Linked DNA regions of Oryzias latipes. The main gene of each other region encodes a partner of the protein of the gene in region 2 in a complex. Links are inferred from orthologs where the notes say so. Each region holds a gene or a part of one and is shown on either strand. Other genes may lie near its edges.

Region 1 (4,226 bases), on a different chromosome or scaffold from region 2:
ATTAGAGTAAAAAAAGGACCGATAAAAATCTGATAAAAATCAAAAAATAGAGGTATCTCACTATTTCCCCTCCACCTCATTTCAATAATTATTAAAATATCAAGACCAATAGCAATAATAATAATAAAAACACATCCACATGTGTTAAGTATTTACTGCAGATCGTATCTGGCTTGTGCCATTTGACTTTTCAGCTTCTGATAATATTTCATTATAAAGACAGGACATGCTTTTATTTTGAAGGCATGACTCTATTGTTCCCTTAATGTTGGGTTTTGTGTGGCTCCAGCCTTCCTACTCAATTCCCATCTGAGGGTGTTTCCATCACATGTTGGATCTGAGATAGGAGTCATGAATGTTAACTCTTAACTCACCCCTTTCAGATCTTTTTTTTTTTTTTTGCTCTGGTATTTATTTTTGTTATTCAAGTGTTTTATGTCGCACATTAGCACCGCAGCAAATTCCAATTCTGTGAAAATGCCCTGCTCACTGGCAATAAATACTCCTTGAATCCTTTGAAGTAATCTTTTGTGTTTTTAAACAGAAAGTCTGAAGAGAGGTATGATGGGAAAACCACTTTTAAACAGTATATTTAACAAAACAAACAAAACTAATTACTTATGTGTTATATATTAATTGCATTACTATAAACATTTTGAGACACATTACACAATTTAGTGATAATCGGACAAAAGCACATTTCTACCATTATATTAGGATTAAATTAGGAAACCTAAAGTAAAAACACTGTTTATATCAAAGTTCCTGTGTGCAAGATTAAAAACTTCTACGCCAAGGACTGGAATGTGATTAGTCCTCTGCTCTTTCTTGTTCTGTATCTCCTTAATGAAAGGACGTCATGTCGTCTCACCCAGATGGAAGCACAGACCCAGACAAACCGGCTTAACCTCTACGGGAAGGCGACAGCAAAGTTGCAAACTCACACTATAAACAGGTTTAATGTGCCAGGATTTCACACGTTCTGCCCAAATTTAAGTCACAAACTCAACCACATTTATGGGAAAAAAAAACATTTTATTTCTTTTGACAATATATATCTTTTGAGCAGTGGTTGAAAAGTTCTTTTATCTACACAACAGATAATCATGAAATAGTACAGAGTTAAAAAAAAGGTCGTCTTGTCATTATGAGGGAAAAAAGGGCAGATTTAAAACTTAAGCACAAAGTGAATAAAACCTGACATTTTAAATAGAAAAAGCATAAATTCAAAGAAAGAAGAGGACAGAATTTAAAAAAATCTCCTGGTTTTCTCCTTAGCGGCCTTGTCTGATGATAATGTCTGACATGTCATCAACTTTGACCAGCTCCAAATTCTGTAAAACAGACAATTCAAAACTGTTAAAAGGTGTTAAAGCTTCAGACGTTTGTCTACAGAAAATAACTTGGGTTATGTTGTTATAACCTTTTATAAAAGTAGAATTCCTAAAGCTGAAAGTTGCTCTTGATAATAAATTAATGTCAAATATAATGTTAAATTAAAGTCATTTTAAAGACAAACAGGATTCATTTAAAAGGCTCTTAAGTTGAAACATTTTAAAGTCGAGTAGGAGTAATGACACGTCTGTCACTATCTTTATAAGCAAAGTGATCCCACAAACTGATAACACTGAGTGAGTGACCGAAGAGTGCACATGTTTATCTTGAGCTGTTTCAAATGTTCTTTTATTTTCATGGTTTTATGTTTGTGTGTGTATCAATGCCTCTGGGTCACGTCTCTCTCTAAAAATGTTTTATCTCAAGGGACTTCCTGGTAAAATAAAGGTTAAATAAAAAGAAACCAAACTGATAAGATATTTTCAGAACCTCAAATACAGTACAACTCATTTACTTCCATTTGATTTTAAATGAATTAACTCATGAACCAATATTATTTTGGTTTTTTTGACAACCAAAAATAGAGTCGGGTCGTCAGTCCTGCTGTTCATTGGTAAATGATAAACACTTTTTTTCCCATTAATCTAGGAACTGATTACATGATGACATCAGTATATGTAATAGATATACGTTACAGATGTGCGTGTCAATTAGCCATTTCAAACTTTCACACACTGTCAAAAGACGGAAAAAACTAGATCACATGCTAAGCAACTAGAAATTATGTTCCCCTTTTAAGTAAAAAAACAACACAGAAAAGTGTGAAACACTTCTTTTAGCTCCATCATATGCTTAATATTTGTTTATTTTTGGTGGGATTATGTAAATTTGCTTCTTCCCACTTCATTTCAAGCTATTCATCAAACTCTATCTGACAATCATTATATTGAATTGATTGTACTGTACATAAAAATGCAAGTTTGTCTATTTATGATTAGGAGTTATTGTAATGCCAAGAGGGTTGCAATGTTTTCTTTTATTTTCTAATAAATAGTTGCACCTTTTCATTTGCCAGATGAAGCAGAGCCACAAAGGCCAGCGGCACCGACAGGTTCTGAGCCATAACGTTCGGCAACCTAAGGGGTACAAGAAGGAGGGGGGAGAAGGAGGAGGAGCACATTTCAAATCAAACTCTTCAAGGTTCTGTCAGCATCAGTCTATAAAGGAAGATAATGTCTCACAAGAATACGAAAAAAAAAAGTGTTGGAGGAGCCAAAACTTTTTGGTAAAACCCACGCATGGATTCCAAACCAGCAATGTTAGTAGAATGTGAGGCTTTCTAAAGCTTTTGATGATTGTTGCTATAAGTGCCAGAGTTGTGTTGGTACCTTTGAAGCAGCATCTTTGTGGTCTGACTGAAGGCTTTCTCCCCACACACATCCTGAGTCTCAACAGTCTCCTTCACCTGCAGAAAGACAAAAACCAGATGAACACAGCTGCCCTCTCTAGACCGTCCTCAAGCACCAACGCCAGACACCTAAACATTCATCAACATGATACAATACAGACAAAAAAGAAAGAAACAAAGTAAAAGCACCTGTACCTTTTCTTCTGGACTATCTGTTAAAAGAGTCCACATGCTGTTCTTAAGCTTCTTCATATCCATTTTCTTTGCTGTCTTGGCATAATTGATTTCAATTTTGTTGACCTGCAAACACAAGCAGTAGAGTAAAAATCAATTCCATACAAAGTTCAGCCTTTTTGGAAAAGGCCTCAATCATGCTTTTTAAGCATTTCTGAGTGAACTATATCCATATATGTAATAATAAATTACATTTTGGCACACTACAGAACAAATTTTGTATTAAATATTTGTTATTTTCATCAGTTCTTTTTCGCTTGGGTGCCGCTCACTTCATGACATCAACCTAGAGTCGGCCTCGGCTGCATCTCGCCAATAAAAACAAACAACATTTGAACTATTGCAAAGATACATGTGCTTATAAAAGGAAAGCGCTTTTGATGATCACCGCTCGGTTTGTGGAGAAAGTGGGTGTGCGTGTTAGCCTGGGGGTGGCGCTGGCAGGGTAGACTTTTCCTGGAAGGGGCTGTTCCTCACTTATCTACGCCACAATGAACCCGCTTATTTTCACGGGTTGGGAGGGGCTGGTGCTCAGAAATGCGTGAATGGATCCGAATACCGCTTTGGGGTTGTTTATAGTGAGGAATTAACATGATAATACACTTAAAAGCTCAAAAGGTTGATTTTACATGATGCAGGCCCTTTCATGATCGAGATTCACAGGCTTCAGGTTTACTGCCAGGTAAATGAATACGTGTCAAACAAACAAAACAAACTAAATCCATTATGTGTTCTTGAAAAAGAAAAAAAAACCCTGCATGACTCACTCTGTGAGGCTCAGGTACCAGTTCATCCTCCCCGTAGGTGGACACACCCTCCAGGTCTTGTGAGGGTGGAGCTTCACTACCACCTGACGGCTGGATGTCATCGGAACCAGTAAACCCCTCAACATCGTCGTCATCACTGTCACCCCCCTGAAGCAGAGGACAGACCAGGAGATGACAGAAGGAAACGCAAAGATAAAAGCTTTGTTTGCTTTACTGTTTTATCAAAAATGTTCCCCATAAATGGCTTTAGTGAGTAAGGTTGGCACGCAGTAACTGAACGGAACAAAGTCATGTCTGGTCAGCTCTCCCACTCTTGGTGATGTGGCAGCAGTTTCGTAACCCCAGCAGTTTGAGGTGATGAAGTTGCTTTAAACTGCAGCATGTTGGTGTTTTAGCATGACACAGCAGATTAGTGCTAGCTGATGTCAGTCATGAAGCTGATGGCCTGGACTGCCCATTTACACACATTAACGAACAAACTT
Region 2 (3,992 bases):
GAAGATGGATGGATGTTTAAGAACCAGCGGTCACGTAAAGTTATTGTGGGTCTGAGGGATGGTTCAAAATACTCAAGGCACCGTGTTTTCACCCTATGAATTATGGGAAACTATCACTCCAAAGCGTATTGATCAAGAAGAAATTTGAAAAAAGTGACAAGAATTTAAACATGTAGCCTTTTTGGGCTGTGTTCTTTATTCACAGCTCACGTAGCTTCAAGTTTTTGTGTAACTGAAAGGTGTTGTGCTCGTCTTTGGAAGTGTTCTGCTTTTTTTTTAAATAAAGGTTTGAGAAATAAAATCAAAGGGGAATTCATAGGTGATCATGTAGTTTTTTGTTGACATTTGATGACTAAAATCGGTCAAAGCCCCCAGTTAAGAATGTAAAGTACAGAAGAATCTAGAAGCAGCAGTCCATTCATTCCTCATGGTACCCCCTACATTCTCTAATGGTTTTCCCCCTAAATAATTCTTTCATTGTAGTTTGTCGACATTTTTCTCTTCTCAGAAAGCAGTTTAACCCCTGGTGCTGTCTTAGATGACCTCACCCTTACATTGACGTGTTCTCTCTACCATGACAAAGGTGGAAAGATTTCATGTAATCCATGGAAACCAGTGAAGATCACAAATCATTGAAAAAAGGTTCAGAGCACTGTCTAGTGGGTCTAGATGACCCAACTCCCAATGTTAAAGTGCCTAGGATAGCACAAGGGTTATGGATGCACCTCTCGTAGATCAGCCTCCTAACTCTGCTTGTCCTGTGGAGTTTGATCATTCTGTGATCGACTGATCGAGACTGTCCAGGAAACATTTGCGTGTCTTGCATTCTGATTAGTCAAAATTTAAATTTTTTTACACCATTCTAAAAGTCTTTTTTAATCTTTATTCATTACAAACTAAATGGCTAGTTATAGTAAAGGAAAAGCTTTAATTGTATCTGTATTTTAAATAAATATGAATTTCACAATTCTGACAAAACATTTAGAACATCAGATAATCCGTTTCTCTTGAAAGGTGCAGATCATTGGTTTGTTTACTTAAATATTGTCATGCAGATCCTTCTATTCAGTCGACAATATGAAGTCAGCAGATGCTATTGTCTCAAAGGTATAAACACGTCATCAAAAGCTTTATTAGTACAGAGGAAGAATAGCAGCATTTCAATAAAAGAACAGTATAAAACATTTTCATTGGCTTTGAGCTTCAAGCACTGACGGCGTCGTGCTCTCTAAAAGCGATGGTTTTGGGGTTGATGCCCACGCTCTTGGTGGTGTTGTGGGTTTTGTAGATGCCAATGAGGCGATCGGCAATCTCAAACATGTTGTTCCTCAAGGAGATAATGATGAACTGAGCGTTCTTGGTTTGTTCCTAGAGGACAGAAAAAGGACTTCAGGTCACATGACCTAATAAAATCCTAACTCTAAAACATACAAAAGATTTGAAATGACTTGTTTTAGGTCCATACTTACATAAATGTAACAAGCCACGATGGAGACGTTCTTGAAGTCCAGAGCAGCATCGATCTCGTCCATAAAGTAGAGAGGCGTCGGCTTATAGTGATGAAGAGCGAACACGAGAGCCAAAGAGCTGAGGGTCTTTTCTCCTCCTGAAAGGTTGAAGATCTTTTTCCAGCTTTTCTTTGGAGGACGAACACTGGAGGGGAAAAGCAGGAACACCAAAGGTTTCCTCATGTGCAGAACAAGCATCTACAGAGGCGATCAGTGGAGAACTTCAGTCCATACCTGAACATGATGCCTTCAGAGAAGGGATCTAAGCTGTCCACGAGCTCCAGCTCTGCATCGCCACCAAGTGTCAGCATTTGGTAGTTCTCCTTTAACTTGTTGGTGATCATGTTGAAGCCGGTCATGAACTCGTTGAGTCGCCGTTTCCGCAGGTCCTCGTAGCTGCATTTGAAGGTGTCCCTCTCCGCTGTGATCTCGTCCAGCTGGGCCACACGCTGCAGGTACAGCTCCTCCTGCAAACACCACACCAACGCTGCTCATCCTTACATCCCTCCAGCATTTCACTTTAGCTTACAGACGGGGGGAACCGGAAATTCTGGTTTCAGAAATCCACTGAACACCTGCGTCTAAACAAATGAAGGGACAGCGCGCCGTTTAACGCTTCCAAACTCAAAACAAAAAGGACACGCGGTTTCCTACTTTGTTCAATTTGAACCAACTATTCCACAAATCATGGCCTCTACCATGTTTCCAATTGTTTTATCTCCCAATATTAATTTGCGACAATATTTTGTTGGAGAAGAAAGTTATGATTACTATAATGGATGATAGGAAGCTTAAAAAGATTCATGTCTCGCAGCTGTATCATTTGTTTTTCTCTTTAAAGTTAATATATAGTGGTTCACCTTTTACAGTCTTGCAGACTTCAGTGCAATTGTGCATGTTTTTTTTTTAAACTGCACTGTTTTCTGTGTCCTGATTGGCTGTAGATCCTGTCAATCAATCTATGTGCCGTGTCTCTGTGGAATAGTGTGTGCATCTTATCAAATCCACAAATATTTAATCGTGAGCAGATCTGTGTTTTTTTCTACCATGATGGACTTCATTTGAATAACTTTGAAAGTTTAAAGAGATAAATGTATAAAGTCAGTAGTGAGGGAGTTACAGTCTTAAAACATTTAGAGTAATGGTACAAATAAGGAGACGTCACAACACGGATCTTTATTTTGGACTTGGTACTGTTTCTGAAGGGAAACATAGTTGGGTCCTCCTCAGTCAGTTGATAACCATCACCATTTAATATCTGTATAGGCCTGAGCTGAAGTGACCTTTGACCTTCAAAAGAACAAATCATGACTGCGTTCCTGTATTTGTCACATTTCCTGTCATTTGTGTTTACCTTCTTCTTGTACTCTGAGATGGCTCCCAGGTTGGGCTTCAGATGACTGCACTGGATCTCCAACGTGCTCATCTTGTTCACGATGGCGTTGGGATCTGAGATGGCTTTAAGCTCAGCAGCAGCGAGGACGGGGAGTTTCTCATTTGGCTGGCCTTCAATGACATGTAGGGACAACTTGGAAGCCTGTTGGAAAATCAAATTTCCCGTTTTAGGAACATGTCAAGAAGGAAACGGTCCACGTAAAGACAAAGCAGCAGGTGTTTGTGACTGTGGGTGAACTCTTAAGGTCTGACTGAGGCTCACTGTGATCACTGAAAGCTGGCCGCTTGGACAATGACTCGTCAGAATGAAGCTTTCAGCTTTGGAATCAGAACTAATGAAAGCCGTTTCACTGAAGCAACCTCTCCTGGAGGCTGTGGATGCAGAAATGGCCGACCCCAGCGTGCTGCTTCATTTGAAGCAGTTCAAAGTCAGTGAAAGCCCATAGATGTGATGCTGGCAGCTTTTCTGGAGCAAAACCAAATCTCTAAAAAAGTCTGACTTTCTCACAGCCTCACAGGCCAAAACAATCAAAACTAACTAAGGTCATTATCCTGAAAAGTGAAAGTGCATAAACACGGATTGCTGTGTGCTTCCATAAGACAAAAAAAGCTAAATATTTGGGACTTGCTGCTTATATCTTTAGATTCCAAATGAGTACCTTTCTAAGTGCGTCCCGTCACTCACCTCGTCCTGCCAGTGCTTGATCTTGCCGTTGTGTTTGGTTATGGTGGCGTCAATCTGCTCGATAGAGAGCCTCACATTGAGGGACTCCTCCTGCAGTGCGTGCTCCTGCTGCTGCAGGATCTTTATTTCCTTTGACACCTTCTGATACTGCTCCTGTACCTCAGGTAGTGCAGCCTATGTAAAGATACAGTTAGATAATGTGTGAATAAAGAGAAACACTGAATAAACATTTGTATTGCCCCCCACATCAGGTAAAGATTTAGTCCCAACTAACAAGAAATCCCAAATATCTCAATAAAAAACATGGGAATGTCTTCAAGAAGACAGAAGCATAAAAAAATCCTGGATAAAGGGAATGATCTGCACTGACCTCAGCCTCCTGGCACGCTTTCATGATCTCCCCA

Evidence for each region.
Region 1: smc4 (region 2) and ncaph share a complex: the UniProt entries of both Homo sapiens proteins name them as parts of the condensin complex. The link is inferred for Oryzias latipes from reciprocal best matches to the Homo sapiens genes SMC4 and NCAPH.

Annotation. Positions count from the first base shown.
Region 1 is NC_019867.2:25,810,490-25,814,715, forward strand, and holds the end of ncaph (condensin complex subunit 2), read right to left. Parts: intron 3,892-4,226; coding exon 3,745-3,891; intron 3,044-3,744; coding exon 2,939-3,043; intron 2,801-2,938; coding exon 2,724-2,800; intron 2,472-2,723; coding exon 2,396-2,471; intron 1,335-2,395; coding exon 1,275-1,334; 3' UTR 1,015-1,274; downstream 1-1,014. UniProt on the Homo sapiens protein: Regulatory subunit of the condensin complex, a complex required for conversion of interphase chromatin into mitotic-like condense chromosomes.
Region 2 is NC_019871.2:13,504,495-13,508,486, reverse strand, and holds the end of smc4 (structural maintenance of chromosomes protein 4), read right to left. Parts: coding exon 3,959-3,992; intron 3,763-3,958; coding exon 3,589-3,762; intron 3,046-3,588; coding exon 2,863-3,045; intron 1,976-2,862; coding exon 1,743-1,975; intron 1,654-1,742; coding exon 1,470-1,653; intron 1,369-1,469; coding exon 1,204-1,368; 3' UTR 1,095-1,203; downstream 1-1,094. UniProt on the Homo sapiens protein: Central component of the condensin complex, a complex required for conversion of interphase chromatin into mitotic-like condense chromosomes.